Linked DNA regions of Tamandua tetradactyla. The protein of the gene in region 1 purifies or fractionates together with the protein of each later gene. This does not show direct contact. Links are inferred from orthologs where the notes say so. Each region holds a gene or a part of one and is shown on either strand. Other genes may lie near its edges.

Region 1 (7,967 bases):
GGTGCATGGGTGGTTCAGTGGTATAATGCTCGTCTTTCATGCAGGAGACCTGGGTTCAATTCCTGAACCAGGCACCAAAATAAAATTTAGAAATGCCATGGAGATTGTCCAGCAGCCTACTTGAAATTGCATAATTATGTTCTCACGTGCCCCTCTGCCCTTCTCATTCCCACTAGGAGGCCTCTGGGCTGTCATGATCCAGGATCATCAATTCCCAGATGCTGGTCCCACAGTACTGGGGGCTGGGTCCCAAGACAGCAGTGGATGGGATGGAGAGGACGGTCAGCACATTACCTGTGCCGCCGCTTTTTCCGCTTGCCTGGGGTGGTGGACACTTTCAGGTCACTCTTGCCTTCTGACAAGCTGTCTTCATCTGTTGGGACACAAAGAGAGGACTTTAAAGCTGAGTGTATTTTTTCATGTTATTTTCCAGATTTGAATCAAGGGGTTGGAGCTGTGAGCCTGTCCAGGAATATAAACATGGAACAATTAAAGCATCAAACAATGCTTAGCATTGTCCAGGCAATTATCTCAATTATTCTTCATCAAATAAAGAAACTACAAATGGGATATTATTATCCTATTTTTACAGATGAAGAAACCAAGACACAGAGAGGTTAAGTAACTTGCCCAAGATCACACAGGTCACACAAATGGTGAAGCTGGGATTCACATCACAAATGACAAAGCTACTTGGTCACCAATTACATTCTCTTTCCCCCAAACAGCTTCCAATTCATCCACTTCCCTCTGCCTCCACCTTCCTTACCTCCGCCCCAACACCAGGCTTTCTCATAGGGAAGGCTGAGGTTTGTATCATCAGAATCTTAGTCAGAAACTCACCCCCTTGCTCTGCCCTACAAATTTAGAAACTCATTTTTGACAAATATGCCCAGAGAATTCATATGCAATCTAAAATTTAATAACCACTCCACTAGGCTTTATCTTTTTAAATCTGTCATATCAAAAGATGTAGAAGGAAAGGAAAGTGAGACAGGTATTGCCATTCATTGTTATAAGGCATAATGTCTTCAACATATTAACAATTTAATGAAGAAAGGCAAATATCAGTTTTGCTCCTATATCAATTAGCTCACAAAAAAAACCTGTATGCTTGGATTAGCATACTTAATGTTTGCACTGCCCAATTTGGCAGCCATTTGCATGGCTATTGAGCACTTAAAATGTGGCTAGTCCAAAGTGAGACCTGCTATAGATATAAAATACTGAGTGGATTTAAAAGACTTACAAAAAGAAAAGGTAGAACATCTCATTAATAAATCTATGTTGATCGCATGAAAAATGATAATATTTTGGACGTATTGGGTCAAATAAAATATGGTATTAAGATCTTTTCCACCCACTTCTTTTTATTTTTTAATGTGGCCATGAAAAATTTTCATTACACAACTGGCTCACATGTTCTATTGGATGATGCCACTCTTCCAAAAATGCCCAACAGACTAGGATTTAGCTGCCTTTTGCCTTTTATCAGCTCTCTTAGAAAAAAGAATGGATACTGTGAAAGTAGATTCTGCCTTTTTAGTGACGCAACTAAAAGGGAATTTCGTATTATCTTACATATAGACTTATGAACGGATTCCTGTTAGAACTCATTTCTGGGCAAATCCTCACCCAATTGCTGACCTGGCTTGTTTTCTTTCATTGTCAGAGAGAACCAATGTACCCTTTTTGCCTTGGTTGCCTGGATGCTCAGCTCTAGGTTCTATGACATAGTTTCCCTCAGACCACGTTTTCTTATATAATTCTCCCTTTTCTTCCCCCGTACCCCACACCTCTCCATTTCTTGGCCCTTGTCCTTTATAGAATACCACTGCTTCCCTCTCCTTCCCCGTGGCAAATTCTTTGTGGCAATAGATGAGTTGCGAACAAAACGCCATGCATAAGTACAACGAAACCCGCCGGGTAGCTTTCCTTCCTATGTGTAGGGGGTTTGAGGAAAGGAAAAACCCAGAACCCTGTTTTCAGCACGCCGTGAACGGACAGCTCCAGGACTTCTGGCAAGCGCGCTCGCCAAGGACTGGTCAATGATTCAATCAATTCAGCAAACATTTGAGTGCCCACTGGGTACCAGGTGCTGTTCTGTTGGTGAACAAGACAGCCCTCCGCTTTCTCGACCCACGCTATTCCTGAAGGCCTAAATTCGCGCCGGGACTCTCGGGAAAGGAGCTGGTTGATGGGTTCAGGGACCCCCAAGGTAGGCCCGGAACCCAGTGGTGGTGGTGCATGCAGCACAGCCGGGGCCAGATCCCGGGAAAGATGGCATCTGGGCAGGAGACGATGGGGCGTGGACTGGTCGAGGTTGCGTGGATACTCTTCCTTCGCCAGGGGACCCTGCTCTGGAGTCCCGCCTTTCCTTGAATCGAGATGCTGGGGGTGAGGGCGTAGGGAGGAGACAGTGTGTTACCCTAGCACTGCCCAAAGCCCAGGGAAACAGGGTGAGGTGCAGGACGAGGGGACTGATTACCGGACGCCGAGACGCTCTCGCTGCGCTCCTCACGGTCGAGCAGGGCCGGTGGGCGCGAGCGGCCGGGGGTCTGCGGGGCGGCTGGCTCTGGGCCCCCGGGCGGCTGGAACGGCACGTCGGCCAGGAGCAGGCAAGAAGCCCCGGCGGCCGCGGACGGCTGTGCGCCGAAGCCGCAGAGGAAGCTGAGCCCCAACGGAAGGGTACCGCGTGCCAGGCAGGGGCCGCCGAGCCCAGTGTCCGGGCAGGGCGTGGCCGGGCCCTCGCAGCCCAATCCCGGCCCCGGGCCGACCGGTGCCGGCAGCTCGGCTTCCAGACCCAGCAAGTCGGTGATGGCGAAGCCCCGCGGGCGCGGGCCGGGACGGGCGCTACCGGGTACCAGCACAGTGCTCTTGGCGCGCCCGTCGGAAAGCGCGTCTCGGCCGGTCATGTCTTCTCAGCCGGCGAAGCGCGACCCCCTCCGGGTCCTCTCTGCGCTGGGGGCCCAGCTCAGAAGACCCTTTATACATTTGGACCTTCCGTCGGGCGCGGAAGGCGCGAGAGCGCCAATCAGCTGGGCGCGGGAGCGTCGGGCGCGGGCGCGTCCGTGGTTCGGACCTCACAAGATGAGGACGCCACCGGTTCCCCTCCCCTAGGTCACCGCCCTCCCAGCTGCAGTCCCCTCAGTCCCCCTCCTTTTCCCCTCTCCTCTCCAGCTGGGCAAGGGAAGGAGGGAGGGGACAACAAGCCCGCTTGTCTGCCGGTCGCTCTAAAAGCCGCGGGTTTCAGACCCCGGAGGGAGTGGTCTTCCCTTCGCTCCCCGACTTTGCAGGTGGATGTCCCTCCCACCTGCCCTGAAGGGCTCCTGCCCTGCCTAGGAGCCCACTAATGCCTAGAACCCCAATTTCCAGCCACACCTCCACCACTGCCGCTGGACGCTCCGACTCCTCCGTAGGAGCCAAAGAGGCCTTCCCAGGGGATCCCTAAGGGGGGGAAAAAAAAAGGTGAAAACGTTTATTTAGTCCACTGCCACTCTGCCCTCTAGCCAGATCCCTCTCCTTGTCCCCAGCACTCTAGCGGCCCAGCTGCGGGGTGTCAAAAATCTCCGACGGAGTGGGAAAAGGGCAAAGACCAGAGGCAGGTGACAAGCTGGAAGGGGACGGGGTGAAAGGCTAAGACAATGAGGATAGGGTTGTCAGATTTCAAAGCAAATAAAAATAGAAGAGGCCCGGTTAAATTTGAATTTCATATAAACAGTGAATTTTTGGTATACATGTGAGCCAGTATTTATAGAACAACCCTAAAGGTGGGAAGCGGGGCGGGGCTGAAAAATAGGGCCTGTCTACAGGGGTGCAGCCCTCGGTGCCCGGGCTAATAAACTGTCAGGGTTTATGACTATCAACAGCCTGATCACCCTGTGAAATACCGGTATTTGTTAAAATTTTAGCTATTTTTAGGAGACTCTGTGGGCCAAACAAAACACGTGGTCAAGCCACGCCTAGCTCACCCACCGGAATTTGAGACCGCTGGTAGAGACAATGGGTCTAAATTTAGTCTCATTTTTTGCTGTTGTTGTTTGTTCGTTTATTTTTGTTTCTTGTCTTCTGCCTTCCTCGCTGTCCATTCCACCCACCTCCCCCCGAGCCTATCCTTCCCTCTGCAGTCCATTCTCGGGGGCCTGACAGTCCGAAGTGACCCAGCGAGGAAAGGGACAACTGTCAGAGCCTCGATGAGGCGGCGCGGCTCACGGGCGCACAGCTCTCGCCTGGGCACGTAAAGTGGAACTCTCACTGCGCCTTGGATTGGGTCCTCTGCAGCTAAGCATGCAGATTATACAAGGGGCTTCTGATAAAGATAATTACGAGAGACTGTGCATTAACTTTCCATTATTAAAGGAAGACCCAAATCTCCCCTCACAAGCTGTTCCCCGGATTAGCAAAACAATAACTTTCTTTTGGAATAACTGTCATTTGATTCGCCCAGGCTGGTGGGCTGCTTTAGACACCCAATCCTTTTGGGCTCAGCCAGGAATTTCTCCCCAAGGTTTATCTCTGGGTTCAGGGGAAGACATTGAGGCACAGGCCCCAGCGGAGGTGTTCTGGCTTTTCGCCAGGCAGCGTTCTTAACTCGTTTGTAAATCCAGATTTAGGATCTCAATCAAGGGACAGAGCTAGATCTCACACATTTCGTCCGCGTCCGGAATGGGCAGGTGGAACAGTCGGCCCTAAAGGGTCCGAGCGAGGTCATCCGCGCAGGGAGGGTGTAGGAGGTCGCCCGCCTGCGCGCGGGAACAAGCACAAGTTGCTAGCAACCTGGACGTGCCGTCCGCGACGTTTCGCCCAGGCAGGGATGTTGGGGTTTCCCTCCCCCAAACTTTTACTAGTGGAAGCAGGAGATCACCGAGAAAAGACAGACCCCAAGTAGATGTGTCAGGGCCCAGAGATTCCGGGGCGCAACCTCGGGCCCCCCAAGCCGACTGATCACGTGGGCCTAGGTCTCCAACCCCTTGGAGGAGGAGGGAGTTTAAAATCTCATCTTACTGATGAGAGTATCTAAGGCTTATAAATCCTGTCACGCCGGGGCTCTAAGGGGAACCCTGGACCAGAGCGTTCCTAACGCCTCCACCGGTTCCACCCGCAGGGAAGAGGCGTGTTGAACCCCAGGGTGCCTCCACTTTGGCAGCGTCGTGGCGGAGCACCCGAGGACACTTTCACTGCCTCCCCGCCCCGCTTCGCGCTAATCCAGGTCGCTGCCCGGAATCAAAACTCGACTAGCGCGTGGGACCGGATGGGCTCAGAGCCCTGGCACCGGGGTGTGGGGGCGCAGCGGCTGGAGCCAGGAGGGCGAAGGGCTTCGCTCAGCATGGGTCAAGGAGCGGGGAGCGCGTCTAGTCGCTTCTGGTGGGTTTAAGAGACCTGGAAAGGAGATGCCTCTGCGCTCTGGCGGGGTAGAGGATGACCTTCTCCCAGACCCCTGCCCCCACACGCACAAACAAATCCGCTGCCAGAGGCTGAGCCCTCCGGAGCGTTCCCGCCCCGCCCCGCCCTGGACCAGCCCCCGGAGTCGTTTTGGAACCCTGAATCCGTTAAGGGGTCCGAATGGGTCTTCATCAGCCGGGATTATCCTGGATTTAACTAATCAGTAAAAGCGTCTCTGCTCCTTATTTTCCAGGGCAGGGCTCCCTAATGCCAGGCGCCAGTGTGCCCTCCACTGCCAGGACCACCCGCGCCTCCCAGTTGAGACAAGGCCGGGGGTGGGGGGAAAGTGGGGGGATCCACAGAGAGATCGATCCCCCTTGGGGTTTTCAGAGCTGGCCTTGATGCTCGGCAAGTCCGCCTTCTGTGGATGAGCACACTCGGGTTAAACGTCTCACCATGGGAGCGCGCGCACAGAGGAATCAGGTGACTTCATTGTGCGCCTGATTTTCCTCTGAGCCTTCTGGCTGCTCCTTCCCTGCTTCCTGGGCTTCCTGTCCACACCCCACAGACTCCAGGCGCTGCCGCGCACCAACCCCCAGCAGAGGAGGTCGTCTGAGGGCTTCCTCTAGTTTCCAGTCGGCTTTTGACCTCCAAGCAAAGGAGTCAAAAATGAACGGCCCCTAGGAAAACCTACCGGAGTTAAGAGTGTAAAATTTCCCAGCTCCAGCAGCCTGGGCGGCTATCTCTTGGGAGTGGGCCCCTGCAGGATCGAGCTGCAGTTATCCACGCTAGTAAACTTTTAGCCTTCACATCCCGTGTTGCTCCTTTCCTGGATGCTGCCCTTTCCGCACCCAGACCCCCTTCCAGCATCATCCCGGGTGTGGACGCGGCTGCTAACAGCTCACCTCTGCCCCCTATTGGGGAAAATAGCCCTCTGCTGGCAAAAGCCCCTCAACGAGGAAGTTACAGCCGGCACCCCCACCCCATCCCCCTCCCACTGAACTTGCAGACAGTATTTGATTGCCCAACTCTAGGTACAAAAGGCTATGCCTTGACTTGGAAAGGGGATAATTCTGCAGAGCCATTTCTGCTTCAAACCTCCACCCCTCACAGGTCAGGCCAAGATGTGACTTGACCTAAGAGCCCATCCCTCTCAGCTCCTTCCCCTCCTTCTTTGCCTCTCAACTCCTTAACCCCTTACCCCGTAACTCTCCTGTGCCACTTGGAGACTCACCTTGCCAGCTTGGCCTCTAAGGATCCCCGGCTTCAGGCACTTTCCATCCTGATAGTGTTTCTGGAAGTCACCTCCCAGATAAATAACTTGCCCCAAAACGTTTGGCTGAGAGACTGTTTCTGGTGTGAAAGACAAATGGGAGGGGAGTTTGAAGACTGCAGCATTTTATTCCAGACACCAAAGTTCTGCTGTGGAAAAGGAAGCCAGAACAGGATTAGCTTTGGGTTCTAGGGATAGCCAACGATTTTTATAGACATAAGAAGGAAGTTAGCTTGACTTCTACGGATCCGAGCAGGGTTTGTCTGGCATATAGAGGTGAGTTTAGGGCAGGTGGACTTTATTTTGTATAGGTCAAATGTAATGAGCCAGAGGTTTGATTGGCTATCAGGGTCATTGCTTTGGTGGGGATTTCAAATTTCAAAAGAAAAAGAGAAAGAAAAAACTTAGAAGGGCTTTTTTCTTTTCTTTTTTTTTTCTTCCCTTGGCTCTGAGGGGTCCCTTGGGCTTTCTCTATACAATTATATCACCTGAGAAATGCAAACTAAAGCACTTGCGATTCAAGGGCTCCTGGTAGACTTTGTTCTCTCTCCCTCACCTGAAATCCCATGCACAATTGCCCGGAACTCTCCAATCTGCCTCCCAGCAGGACTGGCTCCTGAACCCCAGGCCCACATATCCAATGGCTCCTGAACCTCTGTGCAGTCTGCCAGGAGCACAGAGACACAGCCCATCCAGAGCTGAGGCAGCATCATCCCCCAAGCCCCCATTCCCCATGGCTTCTTGGCCCCCTGTTGACCCGAACGGAAGCCTGAGCATCAACCTCGACTAACCTCCCCCCAAGTTTACCTCCAGTTACTCACTAACCGTAACTAAAGTAACACACCTCTTATAGGACCACATTCTATCTTGGTCAAAGTTCCAAGGGTGGATGACATCATCGTCCCCATCTTACAGATAGTGAAACAGAGACGCCAAGAGGGCAACAAATTGTCTACAGTCACCCCACTAGCAAGGGCAGAGCCAGGGCTTGGACCTGCGCTGTATCAGTCAAAAGCCTGACTCCTGGTCACTGCCACCCTGTGTCTCCCTCGAAGCAGGCTCCCTCTCCCCTCCCACTGCCACACCTTGGGTCTGGTCAATGCCTCATTTGCCAGAGTGGAACTTATTTTTCAGACTGGGACTACTCAGTATCCAAACAAGTACAGGGTTCATGGAGGTACCCTAAAGAGGAGGCCCCAAGCAAACACAGGGTGATGGATGCTTTGTGCCCTGCTCCCGAACCATTCAGGACCCTAGTTCCTACATGGACAAAGACTCAAGGAGAGGCAGTCAAGTTCACTGCAGCAGAGGC
Region 2 (6,990 bases), on another chromosome or scaffold:
AGGTGGCCGCTCCATGCCAGACCCTGAAATCAGAAGCTGCCTCAGAGGCAAAATGAACACCACGTGATGCTGCAAATGGATTATTTCGTGGACAAATCTAAAAAAAAAGACATTTCTAAAGGTACTTTTGCAAATTCACTGCAATCAAAATAAAAATCATTCCTTTAGATCAAGCTATATAGTACTAACTTCAGAAAAACAAAGGTGCCTCATGTCCACGTGTAAATGCAGAACAGTGACCTAGAATAAGGCATAACTGAGATTTCTTCTAACAGAGTTAACCCAATTTCAGTATTACAGCTTTGCCCAAGAAGAAATTACATATACTTTGGTATTTATAGAATAAAATTCCAATTCATCCTACTATTTTCACAGCTGCTAATTTTCCAAGAAGTGCCCTCCTTAGGTTCAGCCCTTCGCCTCCCAGGGGCTCCACATTGGCCCCCATCACCACCATCTCTCCGGTGCTTAACCAAACTCCCTTTCCCCAGGTTTGGGTGGGAGAAAGGATGCACTCTGGGAAACTTTTTTTATTGTACGCAGAGGTTAGTGCTCTAGATCAAAGTGGCCTGGATACTGAGGAGAGAGAAATAAATGATAATCCTTGGCCTCAGGTCCCACAATCTAACAGGGAGACAAGAAATACATACAACCAGTAAGTATGATAAGTGTTACTGAGATTACAAAAATGCTCTGAAATTATGTAAGAGGGGGCTAGAGAGTGGGGCTGGGCAAGGACACCTGCTTAAGAGACGAGGACCCAGCCAGACTAGGACAGGGAAGAAAAGAGAAAAATATCCTTACTCATCTCAACTGTCAATGCTGTATTTTTCAGAAGATTGACTGCAGTTTTCTGTAGACTAAGAATATGACTGCAGATTATTTCAAGATACTTAGCACTTTATTTCGGGAGCACATCAGATACGAATACAGACCCACCCAACTGCAATACTACTTTGGAACAATCTCATTTGGCCATGAACAGATGTCTCTGTATCTGCCAACAACACACACACACACACACACCACTCCAATTAATGGACCTGGGCGGAAGCCCTAGAAAGCACTTTAGTGTCTGACATTCCAGAGATGAGAATACCACTTACTGCAGGACGCTGGCAAATCCCTGTGCCTCCTTTTCCTAATCTTATTACAGCATATATTACTTTAATATGATCACCTGAAGACTGTTGGTCTCCCTGAACTGGAATATAAGCACCAGGAAAGCAGGGACTTGGGCTTTATGGCTGCCGTAGCCCACCCACTCAGCACAATGCCTAACCCTTAGGAGGTGCCCAATATATTCTGTATTTGACTGAATGAAGACTAGTCAGTATAAAGTAACACACCCTCTGTTCCCAAAACCCTAGACCTTAACAATGAACTATGACCCGACAAAGTGTGTAGCTCAGCAATACAGCAAGGTTATCACTTTAAAAGACTTAATTATCACCTTCCTTTTGAAACTAAGATAACATTTGGCATATCTAAAAATAATTAGCCCAAGAGATCTGCAAAAATTGTTTTAACATAGTCTCTTTAATATCAACGCTTTTCTAAAATGTGCATTGTGAGAGAATACAAACATCCGTTTAGGTAAATGGACTCTTCAATGATTCATCCTTCAATACGATTTCTTTAATTCTGTTGATTTTAAGTCCACCTAATTTCAGTCATTTTTAAAAACTGTTTCTCAGCGTGCAGTAAATCTAGAATCTTCTTTTAAAGATTTTTCCCGATCCCATTCTCCACTCCTTAAAGCAAGATATATAAAACTAACCACCCTTGGATCCGAAGATTGCTTGGGGATTTCCTATATGCAATGAGGCACATAAAAAAAAAAAGGCTAGTGAGACTTGAAACAGAAGGAAAGATTTCAGAAATTTTCAATAATATAACCACTTTAGGCCCACTTTACAAAGAATTAACTTCTTTCGGGGATGACTCAGAATTATGATCCCTAGATGTAACTCATAAGGAGCTCATCACACAAATTCTGTCCCATTATGTGGAAACCGTAGTCCTGGTGGCCAAACATAAAAACGCCAAGTTTTAAACACACCCACATTTTTGCTTAATTAGGGACTTAAAACGGACATTAGCGGTTCTCCCTTAAAGCCTATCTGAAAGCCCTAACAAAACAAATACAATACGCTTGCGGTGACGTCTCTGCACAGAAATACTTCAAGCCACACACACACAGATGTGTCTGGTGTATTAAACAAATGACAGGAAAGCGAACCCTGCTTTTCACGATTGGCGTGGATTCCAGGGGACAAGCCCGCCACCTGGACACATGGCTGGGAGCGTGAGAGCTCATCGCTCTCACACTGAGTGGAAAATCCAAAGATGTCCGCAGCACTTATTTAAAGTTTCCACCTTCACACACCCCCTGCCCCCCAAGAGCCGGGTCGGAGGACTCCGCCCGGCGAGGAAGTGGGCACTAGGCTTCCGTCCGCCGCCCCGGCAGGACTCCGAGCCTCTGCCCGTCCCCGCGAGACCCTCCTTCCTGCCGGCGGAGCCCCCCCCGCCCCGGGGACAGTTCCCGCTCCGCGCGCGGCCACTCTAAAATGGAGACCGAGCCGTTGGCGCCGCGTCCCCCCGCCGACCCCCGCCCGGGCCCGCGCCCCCCACCCGCCTCCCACCAGACTCCCGCCCGGTCCCCGCCCGACTCCCGCACGCCAGCCGGGGGCGAAAGCCCGCAGCCGCCCACCCGCCTCGGCCGGCTCGCCTCGGCCCCCCGGCAACGCCCGGCGCCCTCCTCTCCCCGGCTCGAGGCCGCGAGCCCCCCGGCCCCGCGCGGGCCAACAGCCCCGCGGGGCCGCGCCACCCCCGCCACTAGGCCCCGCGGGCCGCCCCCGCGCCGCGCGCCGCACCTACCATGGTACAGATGGAGGCGAATTTGGAGACTGTCATTAGGATTTCCATTCGCCCAGCGCCATCTTCCACCCAATCACAGCGGCGGCGGGCGCGGGAGGAGGGAGCCCGGCCGCTCGCTCTCGCCGCAGGCCCGGCGGGCCCGAGCCGTCGCCGCGCGCCCCCGGACCGAGCCCTCTCTGCCGCCGAAGGGCCGCCGCCGCCGCCGCAGGCGCTCGGGCTCTCCCGGCCTCGGCCTCCGGCCCCGGCTTCTCACCCGCGCAGGGCGCAGCCGCTGCCTCGGGGCCCACGCCTGCCCGAGAAGCCGCCGCCGCACACCCCACCCTGCGCGCCCGGCGAGCGGGCTCCGCCCCGGCCCTAATGCCCGGCGGTCCACAGCCGCGCGGCCCGCGCTCCCTCCCGGCCCGCCCCGCGCGCGCCCCGCCCCCCGCCGAGGCCCCACCTCCCCCGTCCCAGAGCGTTAGAGCCGGGACTCCCGGGTCCGCCTCACTCCGCGCGCGGCTGGGGACGGGGTGGCGGCGGGCACCGCCTCCTGTCCCCGCTTCCCGCGTGGTCCTAGAGACCGCCATCAGCGGTCCGAGAAGAGTGGCAGCAAGGGGTGCGCGCGGCGCGGCGCGGCTGGGTGAGCGGGGGGCGACCAGGGTCAACCCTGAAGGGGCATGACCCGCAGCCCTGTCCCCAGGGCTCAAGCCAGCTAGCCACCACTGCCGAAACCGGAGGCGATGATCCGACCATTCCGGGTGGGGTGAGAGGAGACCCCCTTCTTTCAAGACAACCCGAGTAATACAGCATCCCATGCACATACCAAAATGCAAGGGATTTGGTTTTTTGTGGGGTGTTTTATTTTATTATTGAATAATTATCTGGATGAAAGTACTGTAACTTTAGTAAATTAATAAAAATGAAAGGCAAAGAAAAATACAGAGAGAAAGAGAAAAGATGAGTAATAAGGGACCCTGGCTTTCTGCCTGTCGGCTGGCCTTTAAAATGTGTTTATAAATACAGTATCTAAATATATTTACACTAGACAACAGGGCCTGTATAAAAGGAAAGACCTCAACCCAGCAGTGAGATGATGCGACCAAACCAGAAGTTAGATCCCACGAGTGAGAGATGCCCTAAAGCAGCAGTTAGCTGGTGGGATATTTCCTCTTCACTATTTTTATAAAATTTACCGTCGCACCTGTGCTTCAAGTCAGACAGCTCAGCTGTGTGTCTTCCTTTATGAGAAAGTACTTCGAGTGAGAACTTTATAAATTATTGTATTAGAAAGGTTGTGGTACTTTTCAAGTGGCAATCCGTGGTGATGGGGAACTTCCATTTCAGCCGGGCTGGGGGGAATTCAGACAAAGCTCTAATATCTGGTATGCCTCACCTCATAGGCTAAAAGCATTTCAAACCAAAACATAGCATTCACACACAACGTAGGTGAGAAATAAATTTCTGTTACATGAGTGCTGTTTCCATAGTGATTCCCATTATAAGCTTGTGTAGGGGAAATTAGCTTGAATATAGCCATGTCCCATAGTAGCCAGCCTGGTTCTCCATGGAAGCCGTGGCCCTGGCTGTCTGCCCTGACACCAAGCCAGCAGCTAGGTCCATTTCTTATGGTCATACTTACAGGTGTGTAGCTTCCCTGCCTAGACTCGCAAGCAGCGCCCACTTGGTTTCTTTCTTGCTTTATGCTACTCACTGTTTGGACAAGAGTCATCACATCGTAGACCCTAGGGGCCTGCCTGGGCCTCGTCTTCCACGCCGCTGGGCCCTGTCCATCTTGGTAAAATGTCTGTTATACATCCTGTCCTTCCACCTGCTGTTTTGTCCCAGTGAGCAGATCGAATGTGCCAGAATTTGACCTCCTCCTCCTTCGATGTCGCCCACCACCATGCCTCCTTGTCCTTGAAACCTACAACGTGACAGGAACAGAGGCCACTCAATCCAGCTCTATGCATACATTTATAGGATAGCGAGGCCTACTTAATGGATTTCTGATGGCATCATGTGGAGTCGTGTCCAGTAGAGAGCCATCTGAATTCACAGACAGGACAAACATGTCTTGTCGCCCCAGCTTAAGGCTGAGTAGAAAGACTCAAATATAAGAAGAGAGCCCTTTCTTTGCCTGGTGCTGTGCCTGAGCATTTTCCATTATGTGTGATGCAGCTGGGGATAAGACTTGCCTGGAACCCCACACTCTTGCACCCAGAGCATGCAAGGAGTATACTGGGTGTGGAACACGTTTTACCTGCAACTGTCTGAGCTTCACCAAGAGCCTCATTGTACCATTTCTGGGCCTGCCTGAATGTACAAGCATTAAAATACCCCCCAAATACCTCCTGGGTCAAGTAAGTGAACAAACCAAGGCCAACCTTAATCTGTTTGGTCAGTGCTTTTATTTCAAAGTTTTTCATTTGAAAACCTTTATGCACTCCTGCCCTCTCCACACCCATTTGCCCTGGATCTAAAATCCAGGTGTCTCCCCTCCTCTACCCTGCCTCTAGACAGGGAATGAATTGACCTTTCCTAGTGGTATTGATTAATACTCCCAGGTCTCCAAGCAGAGGATGTCCAAAAAAAAAAAAAAAAAAAATCCCAGTGATGGTCTATACTTCTTCTTAGGAAATATACATGAAAGTATTGAGTAGGGTAGTTGTGGGGTATGATGTTTACAATTTACTCTCAGAGGTTTAGAAATTAGATGATATTCTTTAAATAGAGTCAAGAGGCTATTCTGGAGGCTACTATTATGCAAGTGTCAGCTAGATACTGCTAACTGCCATAGTTTGCCAAACCCCAACCAACACCATCCCTACCAACCCTAAAGAACCCCTATGGCTCTTTCTGAGATTCTACAAAAGTTCCATGCACTAGGATTACTTTCCAGAAACCTACAACCTCCAGATGGGTTCCTAGGACAGATAAGTCTTGAAACGCAGGGGGCCCAGCCTCTCTAGAACATCAACTAATTCCATCCCCCTATCCCATATTGTCGACAACCCTTTCCAACATGAAAACGTTAGAATGGGCATAGTCCAAATACCCCTAAAGATTGGGAGAAAGATCAAAGGAGAAGGAGGAATTATAACAGAGAAGATAGCATTTAACAGATGAGTATGACTGCTGAATTATTTTATCGATATTTTAGTCTCCAAAGTCTTGGAGCACATAGAAGGAAAAACCTAAAATTGTGGTACAGTAACCCATACCAAAGTCTGAAATCTGTTCTATCATTACTTGTTACAATGTACTTTGACATTTATTGTTTTTTTATATATGTTATATTTCACACAAAAAAAATGTTTTTAAAAAAACTGAAATGTGTGCTCATAATTTACAATAAACATTTATTGATCATCTAATAGTGCATTAGAGAAGTCTCTGCCCTCAGGAAGCACAAAGTCCATTGGCATAGGCAGATGACTATTACGGTAAACGAGATGAGAGAATGAAGGACCAAGTGGTATCAGCTCCAAGAGAGTGTGTTCAGCTCTTCCCCCAGGAGGGGTGAGCTGGGGGTGGGGGGTGCTTCACAATCTAGAAGATTAGGTTGAGCAATGGGGAGGGATGGGGAAGGCTGGTGGTTTTCTAGGCAGAGGGAAAGCCCCGAAACCTGTGGAAGGTATCTATGGGGCGTGTTGCAGGGGGTTTGTGGAGAAGAGTACGAAATGTCCAGGGGACAATCCAACCCACAGTGACCCTCTCTGGGACTTCTGCCGTCATACCCATCCATAATAAGTGGCAGAATCAGCCTACCTTAAAACCTGCTCCACACGACAGTCCATATGGAATCCCAGTCCTGCAGATTTCAAGGAGAATGAGCAAATTTCCAAGAATAAGCAAATTTCAAGGAGACATCAAAATAATAACAGGTCTGCAATAGGAGACAGCCTGCTTCCTGCTGAGTATAAAGTAAGCCAGAATACTTTCTCTGTGTACTTGGGTCCTCGTTAATGTGGGTCCCACTAGAGGAGACTAACAACACGCTGGTGAGGATAACACAATCATTTCAACTGTTTTGATCCTGTTCAAAAGTGGCTGAGCTTGGCTGGAGAAGGGGACTCCTTTCCAACTGCTTGCGCCACCCACTCTTTTCTTCTGTGTAGAGAAGGAGTGGGA
Region 3 (7,838 bases), on another chromosome or scaffold:
CAAAGAGGCTGGAGGGAAACATAGAGCCGTGTTCCAGTAGCCATGTTTCTTGAAGATGACTGTATGATAAAGCTTTCTCAACGTGACTGTGTGATTGTGAAAACCTTGTGTCTGTTGCTCCTTTTATCTACTTTATTGACAGATGAGTAAAACATAGATTAAAAATAAATAATAGGGAGAACAAATGTTAAAATAAATTTAGTAGATTGAAATGCTAGTGATCAATGAAAGGGAGGGGCAAGGGGTATGGTATGTATGAATATTTTTCTGTTTTCTTTTTATTTCTTTTTCTGAATTGATGCAAATGTTCTAAGAAATGATCATGATGATGAATATACAACTATGTGATAAAAAAGAATATTCATATTGTATGTTGATTGGTTTTATTAATAAAAATTTTTTTTTTAATGAAAAAAAAAACCCAAAATTTACAACTCCTAACACTAAAAAATAACTCTTGTTTTTTTTAAGGATAAGTTATTTGCTCTGTTTTAAAATCAGAAAATAAAAAGAAAATCACAAAAACAATCATTTACACTAAAAAATAACTGAATGCAAAGTCATTCATGGAAAACAAAAACAAAACAAAATTACAACACCTAGGAGAGAACTGAAATGTCCACTACTTACTGCAAATATATTTAAAAGACAACGCCACATGAAAATGAAATTTTACAAAAATGAAGTTAAAATGCTCAAATAAATTATGCAGGTAAAGGTAATTTAAATGCTTAGGAGTTGTCATAAGATCTTTTTCTGGGGGGATATTGTTTTGAAAAGCTCTTAGTTTTACCCTTCAGGGAATAAAGTGTCCCACTAAAAGAGAACACTGTTCTAACCATACTTTCAGGCAAGAGCCCTGTTTTATGATGCAAACCAGGACTAATATTCACATAAGGCTTGCCATTAGAATGCCTCAAAAACAAAAAATATATATAAAAAGATAAAGTTTTAAAAGAAAATGTTTTAAAAGGGTAATGCCTATATTAGTGATTGCTATTGCTAGTGAATTTAAGTTTTTAAGCACTTTGCATATAAATATAAATTTTATATAAATAAATTTTAATAACTTAAAATCTAAACATATTTCCAAAGAAAACAGGCCTAATGCGAATGTCAAGATGGCAGCCTCCTGTTTGACAGTTACTCTAAATGCTTATTTTAACTATATTTTGCATCTACTAAGTATTTCAGGGCTTTAAAGTTCATCACAATTATTATATTATCAATTACAACATATACACTTCCACATGCTCCTTTCAAAAAGGAGAAGATAGACGTTAAATAACTTGTCCAATAAGTCAGTTACAAAGTAGGGACTAAGACTAAAATTTCATCTCCAAGACTACTAAACACTTCACCCCCTTCCCAATTCCCAAAGGGGAAAAAAGGTCAAATGATTTATTTCCTGTAACTACCAATGGCATACTCTAAACACAATAATACACTTATTATGACAAACGACAAACGCTAACAAAGAAGATTCACCTTGAAAAGAACGAGAAAACTTGATACATTTAGTTAACATTGTCACTTCCCTAGTTCTCATAACCAAATAAAAATTCTGTACTGGATCTGGAAATACTGAATCCTAAAGAATGTTCAGTCTTCAATATGCACCAAATATTTTCATTCTAACCGAACACTTGTAAATTAATCTTGTATCACCTTTTCTCAAACCGAGGTACTGTGGAGTGCATTAATTTCCTCACTCTTCCGAGTCAAATCGGAGACCATAATCTCAAAAGTAAGCAGTTCTCAGTGAGAACACAGTTGTATATCTAATGCGGGCGGGGGGGGGGGGTGAGGGGACTAGCTCTAATGAACTGCTGCTTTTAAAGAGATATTTTAAAGGATGGTTACATGCTTCACAGAATTACTGTTAAATTACCCGCCAAGAAGGGTAGTTCCTGTCAAGTAGCTTTTAAGCCATATCCCTCCCTGTTTGGGACATAGTCTGACTTGTTGGACAAGATTAATCTGAGCACGCTCACACAGAACCCCTGTGAACCAGTTTACTTGGTTGGAAACATCATTTCGATCTCCCAACTGTAAAATAATCCTCTTTAATAATCTCTCAGAAAAAGGCTTCCTCGGAGGAGACAATGACAGCCTCCTCCATCAGATGTTTTTGGAAATAGATGTGTTAAAACCACAAGGAGAGGCTCTGAGGAAGTGTCAGTGCGGCAGCAGGTGGAGTAGCCCTTCGTGCCGAGCAGGTCCTTTCTGACCTAGTCTCAGTCTCCGGTTCCCAATCCCAACTCCGCCTTACAGAGCTTCCTAAGCAGCCCGGAGCCCGTTCCCTAAACCAGAGCAAGACTCCCAGACCTCCGGGCAGGCGAGATGGTCTGGGCTAATAAGACGGCCACCCTACCTCTTCCGGGGACTCGCAGGCCGCTCACTGGCCATGTCAGAGCCTGACTGACCTGCTGGAGGGAGGCAGCTCTTTCCTCTGAGGCCTCCCAGCCGGAACCCCACATCCCACGGACGCTATCCACCTCCCCGAACCCTTCGAAACGCTACCATCACTACCCTCCTTACTCATGAATCCCCTTTCCTCAGAAACACCCCAGTGGAGTTACCGGCCCACTCAAAAGTAAGAGCGAAGGCTACCCCTGTCGGTCACCCTGGCCCCCGCTGTCACTGCCTTGTTCCCGGCCTCTGCCCACGCCGCAGGCGAGCCCCGGCGACGCCCGGGTCGGTACCTTGCGGACCCCCTTGTAGATATAGAAGTAGAGCTCCCGGCCCACATTGAAGCAGAGGCGGTCGCCGTTGCCAGACTGGTCGTTGAGGTTTACGAAGGAGACGCGGACAGGATTGGATCCCTGCGAGTTGAAGGGCACCCGGTTGGGGCGGCTGTACTCCGAGTGCGGCAGCAGCTTGTACAGACCTTCCCGGGTGGTGAATTGAGTCTTAATCTCGTTCATCTCCTTCCCTCCTCCCTCCGTCGCCATCTTGGAAAGCAGCGTTCATCCTGCCCTAAGTGCCCGGATCACGCCCACCGCGCAGGCGCCGTCCCTGGCTCTCGCTCTTCCCCACCCCCCACCCCCCGCCTCTTCCGTCTAGCCCCTCCCACCCGCGAGCAGCCCCGCGGAGCCGCGCGGAAGGAAAGGGGTGGTCTTGCTTACCACCCGACTGCGCAGGCGTGCTCACCTGGCGCGCTGTGCGCGAAGACTCAGGTGGGGGACGGTTTCGATCCGCTGACCCGCAAAGAGCTCCTCTGCGTTCGGAGAGAGCCGTCAAGGGGAAGCAGCGACCGGGGTGGGGTCAGGAGTACTGAGGTGAACTTGGGGGAGCCTCCTCAGCTGCGGCCGGCGTTGGCGTGAGGGGGCCCCAACGCTGGGAGGGCGCTGCTGCGCCCCTCCTGGACCCGCCCTCGGCTGCCCGGGGACGGTCCAGCCCGCGGGGGGCTGAGCCGGACCCGCATGTCTATCCCGAGGTCTGGGCACCTCCTAGAGTCGGTCCTAGAAGGTACCGAAGGACTAGAGCTTCATGCTTCACCATCTTTTTGGGAGGGTGGGGTGGGGTATAAATACATATGGCATAGGTGTTTGCAGGTCAAGCATTGAATTCCTTTCTGCAGTGAGCAGTGGCTAATTTTAAGGAGAATAGTTCGTGTTGGCGTTTCTGGTTCTTAACTGAAGTTTGTCTTCACCAGTAGTTGTTCAGAGAAAACTGGGGGGCGGGAAATGGCTTTGGGCACCAGAGGCTGAATCTTTGCAGGATTCACTTATGCTCAATAGTTGATTAAGAGCTCTTAATTAAAAAAAGAAGTCACTGAATTATTTTTAAGGCCTTAAGTGAAAATACTAGGAGATCCATAGGTATAGTTGTATGCATAAACTAGATCTAGTTATGCAGGAACTTGCATGGGTGTTAAATTAAGGTTAAACAATCACCATTTTATACCTGGATTTCTTGGAATGTTGCAGTAGAATAAGAAAGGTTCTAAGTGACAGAAATAATCTGATATAATTCCTGGAGGAAAAAAGCCAACATTGATTACACCAAGAATGAACTGTTTCTTCAAGTTCAAATCCTAGCTAGAGGGTCACAAAAGAAACTGAGGAAGGTAAATTCTAAAGTGAGGGTGCCTAAATCATAAATATCTTATGTATTACAAAACAAGTGAAAAGTAAAAACTGCCAATGATCTCATAATGAATTTGACACTAACATCCTGCACCTTTGAGCATGTTGGCAAAAAAGCACTAGACTAAAATCTATTTACTTAATAAATCCCTAAAATATGTAAAAAATTTTGTTACAGTTGTTTTCATGGCATCTGCCTTTCTCTAAAAGTCAAATAGATATCAGAAATCTTTTAAAATACCAGGGTATGTTCTATGATACCATGGATTTAACCCAATCTGCTATAATTGTGTTTTACATCAAAATTTTGTATTTTTAATGATCACCTTGAAGAACTAGTGACATCCTCAGTCATGTATAACCAATTCACCTGTATTCCCTAGTTATCAAGAGAAGGAAAAAGGTATATATATTAAAAGTATAACAATGCTTTTGGGGGGTGTGCTGGTTTGAACGGATGTTTTAATCTAAATCCCATTTCATAAAGGCAGAATAATCCCTATTCAATACTGTATGTTTGAAACTGTAATCAGATCATCTCCCTGGAGATGTGATTTAATCAAGAGTGGTTGTTAAACTGGATTGGGTGATGACATGTCTCCACCCATTTGGGCGGATCTTGATAATTTTCTGGAGTCCTATAAAAGAGGAAACATTTTGGAGAATGAAAGAGATTCGGAGAGAGCAGAGAATGCTGCAGCACCACGAAGCAGAGAGTCCACGATCCAGCAACCTTTGGAGATGAAAAAGGAAAATGCCTCCCGGGGAGCTTCATGAAACCGGAAGCCAGGAGAGAAGAAGCTAGCAGATGAAGCTGTGTTTACCATGTGTCCTTCCAGATGAGAGAGGAACCCTGACCCTGTTCACCATGTGCCTTTCCAGATGAGAGAGAGCTCTGACTGTGCTTGCCATGTGCCCTTCCACTTGAGAGAGAAACCCTGAACTTCATCGGCCTTTTTGAACAAGGTATCTTTCCCTGGATGCCTTAGATTGGACATTTCTATAGACTTGTTTTAATTGGGACATTAGCTACTAATTAAATTCCCCTTTTTAAAAGCCGTTCTGTTTCTGGTAAATGTATTCCAGCAGCTAGCAAACTAGAACGGGGGGGGGGGGGGGGGGGGGACGACTCAGCAAGCAGCAGCTTGAACGCAAATTTTTTATTAGCCTTAGATTAACCAGAACATTCAATTACATAAAAGACCTATAGACCTTAAGCATTCTATTACTGTTTTATTCAGCATATAAATTCAAATAATATTAATATGTTGTCCTATCTGGAATTTTTTTTTTTAATGCTGTATGGTGGGGGTGACATTTCGTTATTTTTCCATGTGACTGTCCTGTTATTACAGCACCATTTGTTGATTTTTTTTTTGGAGAGGGGGATAGTGCACAGCTGGGAATTGAGCATGGGTCTTCTGCATGGCAGGCAAGAATTCTGCAACTGAACTACTCTTATACCATCCTCCCCCAATTGAAGCATTTGAATAATCTGAGTACTTCTCTCTTATATTTTCTTTTCCCAACTCCCAAGGATTCAGTATAACTAGGCCTAATGTAGTTATATAGTTCTGAATTTCATTTACAAACCAGGCATTTCTAAATGAATTTGTGCCTCAAACTGATCAGTCTGTAAATCTTATCAGTTCCCTTTCCATTTCCTCAAACTTGAATCTAATGGTTTCCTGAATTATTTCCTTAGTTTCAGTTTTCCTCCTATAAACAACTATGAAATTAATTTTTAAAAGCACTGCTTTTTCTTAAAACACTGCTTTAAACAAAGTCCAAAAACTTTCAGTGACTTGGCAGTATCCACAGGATTTAAGTATCCACCCGCAATCTCAGCCTACCCCTTATTTACCACATAAATCCTCATTACTGTCAATCTGTAAACAGCTAAAAGCTGTCACTCTTAACTATTTCACTTCTTCATAGGCTGTTCTTCGAGAACTAGTTTATGGCCCATCCTCACCAAACCTTTCCCAAAGTCTTCTTGGTGATATAATATACTGTACTTTAAACCAAGGATTCTCAATTCAGGATCCATGGCTGTTTCCAGGAAGTGTTTTAAACCTTTAATTGTATTCAAAATTATATGTATATGTTCACTTAATCAACAGAGTATAGCTTTCATCGGATTTTCAGAGTTAAAAATCTCGCCCTAAAGTTAAGAATCACCGGGCTAAATTTCTATGACATTTCTCTGAGTTTTTGATTGTCAATTATATAATATGCTGACTACCATTCTAATGTTCTTTTGGTGTTTATTAGCATATGCTAATATATTATGTTGATATTTGTCTTTGAATGCATATACCCAACCTATCAGCCAGATTGTGAGCACACTCAAGGATAAGAGAAACCTTGTTAAAATTTTTCATATCCTCAAACATTTATTTAAGAGCCTCCAATATGCTACAATGTTCTAGCCTTTGGGATGCATCAATAAATAAAAAAATTCCTTTACTTATGGAGATTGTTCTTGCAGGGGATAACAGGAGACTGAGGAATATATAAATAAATAAATATATATATATATAGTAAATATAAATATATAGGTTAGTGCTAGGAAAAAGAAGTAGAGCAGTGTAAGGGGCATTAGGAGTGTGCTGAGTAGTTTGCAATTTTAAATATGGTGGTCAAAATAAGCCTCACTGAAACTGTAACCCTTCACCAAAGACCTGAAAGAGGCAAAGGAATGGGCCTTGGGAAGAGCTGGGAAAAGAGCAGATCAAGCAAAAGCCTCCAAGGCAGGAGAGTGCCAAGAATGTTCAAGGAATAGCAAGGTCTTTGAGGCTGGCCTCTAGCCTAGTAAGAGACTAACTGCAATGATCCAGGCCAAAGGTAATTGATGGTGGTTTGGATAGGTATGGTAGCAATTGAGATTGAGAGTTTAAGAAAATCCTTGATAAATTCAGAAAGTAAAACCAGTAAGATTTTCCAGCAGATTGGATGTGGCTTGTAAGAGAAATGGAGGAGTCAAGAACGACTCCATGGTAGGCATAGGCAATTGGAGGATGAAGATATCACTAATCGAGAGGGGGGAGTCTGGAAAGGAGCAAGTTTTGAAAGGAGGATCAGGAGTTCAACTTTGAAAATGTTGGTATGGATGTCTATTAGGCATTCAGAGAAAATGGCCAGGAGGCAGTTGAATGATCAAGTCTGGAGAGAGATCTGAGTGGCCGATGTATATTTGACAGTCATCAGCACATAGATGGTATTTAAAACTTTGGTCCCCCTCTTTTGTTGCTTAGATGTGGCCTCTCTCTCCAGCCAACACAACAAGCAATCTCACTACCCTCCCCCTCTGCGTGAGACATGACTCCCGGGGGTGTGGGCCTTCCTGGCAACATGGGACAGAAATCCTAGAATGAGCTGAGACTCAGCATCAAGGAATTGAGAAAACCTTCTCAACCAAAAAGGGGAAGAGTGAAATGAGACTACGTGTCAATGGCTGAGAGATTCCAAACAGAGTCGAGAGGTTATCCTGGAGGTTACTCTTACACATTAAGTAGATATCACCTTGTTATTCAAGATGTAGTGGAGAGGCTGGAGGGAACTGCCTGAAAATGTAGAGCTGTGTTCCAGTAGCCATGTTTCTTGATGGTGACTGAATAATGATACAGCTTTCACAATGTGACTGTGTGATTGTGAAAACCTTGTGTCTGATGCTCCTTTTCAACAGATGAGTAGAATATATGGAATAAAAATAAATAATAGGGGGATCAAATGTTAAAATAAATT

What was found.
Region 2: the proteins of VSX1 (region 1) and USP12 purify together in Homo sapiens (affinity purification with mass spectrometry; 3 studies listed by BioGRID and IntAct, counting the BioPlex papers as one, with this or other methods). This does not show direct contact. The link is inferred for Tamandua tetradactyla from reciprocal best matches to the Homo sapiens genes VSX1 and USP12.
Region 3: the proteins of VSX1 (region 1) and WDR20 purify together in Homo sapiens (affinity purification with mass spectrometry; 3 studies listed by BioGRID and IntAct, with this or other methods). This does not show direct contact. The link is inferred for Tamandua tetradactyla from reciprocal best matches to the Homo sapiens genes VSX1 and WDR20.

The regions. Positions count from the first base shown.
Region 1 is NC_135327.1:35,045,137-35,053,103, reverse strand, and holds the start of VSX1 (visual system homeobox 1), read right to left. Parts: upstream 3,003-7,967; 5' UTR 2,916-3,002; coding exon 2,489-2,915; intron 374-2,488; coding exon 295-373; intron 1-294. UniProt on the Homo sapiens protein: Binds to the 37-bp core of the locus control region (LCR) of the red/green visual pigment gene cluster. May regulate the activity of the LCR and the cone opsin genes at earlier stages of development. Dispensable in early retinal development.
Region 2 is NC_135330.1:192,409,161-192,416,150, forward strand, and holds the start of USP12 (ubiquitin carboxyl-terminal hydrolase 12), read right to left. Parts: upstream 3,017-6,990; 5' UTR 2,929-3,016; coding exon 2,881-2,928; intron 2,786-2,880; exon of another isoform or gene 2,714-2,785; intron 1,814-2,713; exon of another isoform or gene 1-1,813. UniProt on the Homo sapiens protein: Deubiquitinating enzyme that plays various roles in the regulation of the immune response and inflammation.
Region 3 is NC_135338.1:63,627,594-63,635,431, reverse strand, and holds the start of WDR20 (WD repeat-containing protein 20), read right to left. Parts: upstream 3,017-7,838; 5' UTR 2,955-3,016; coding exon 2,706-2,954; intron 1-2,705. UniProt on the Homo sapiens protein: Regulator of deubiquitinating complexes. Activates deubiquitinating activity of complexes containing USP12. Anchors at the base of the ubiquitin-contacting loop of USP12 and remotely modulates the catalytic center of the enzyme.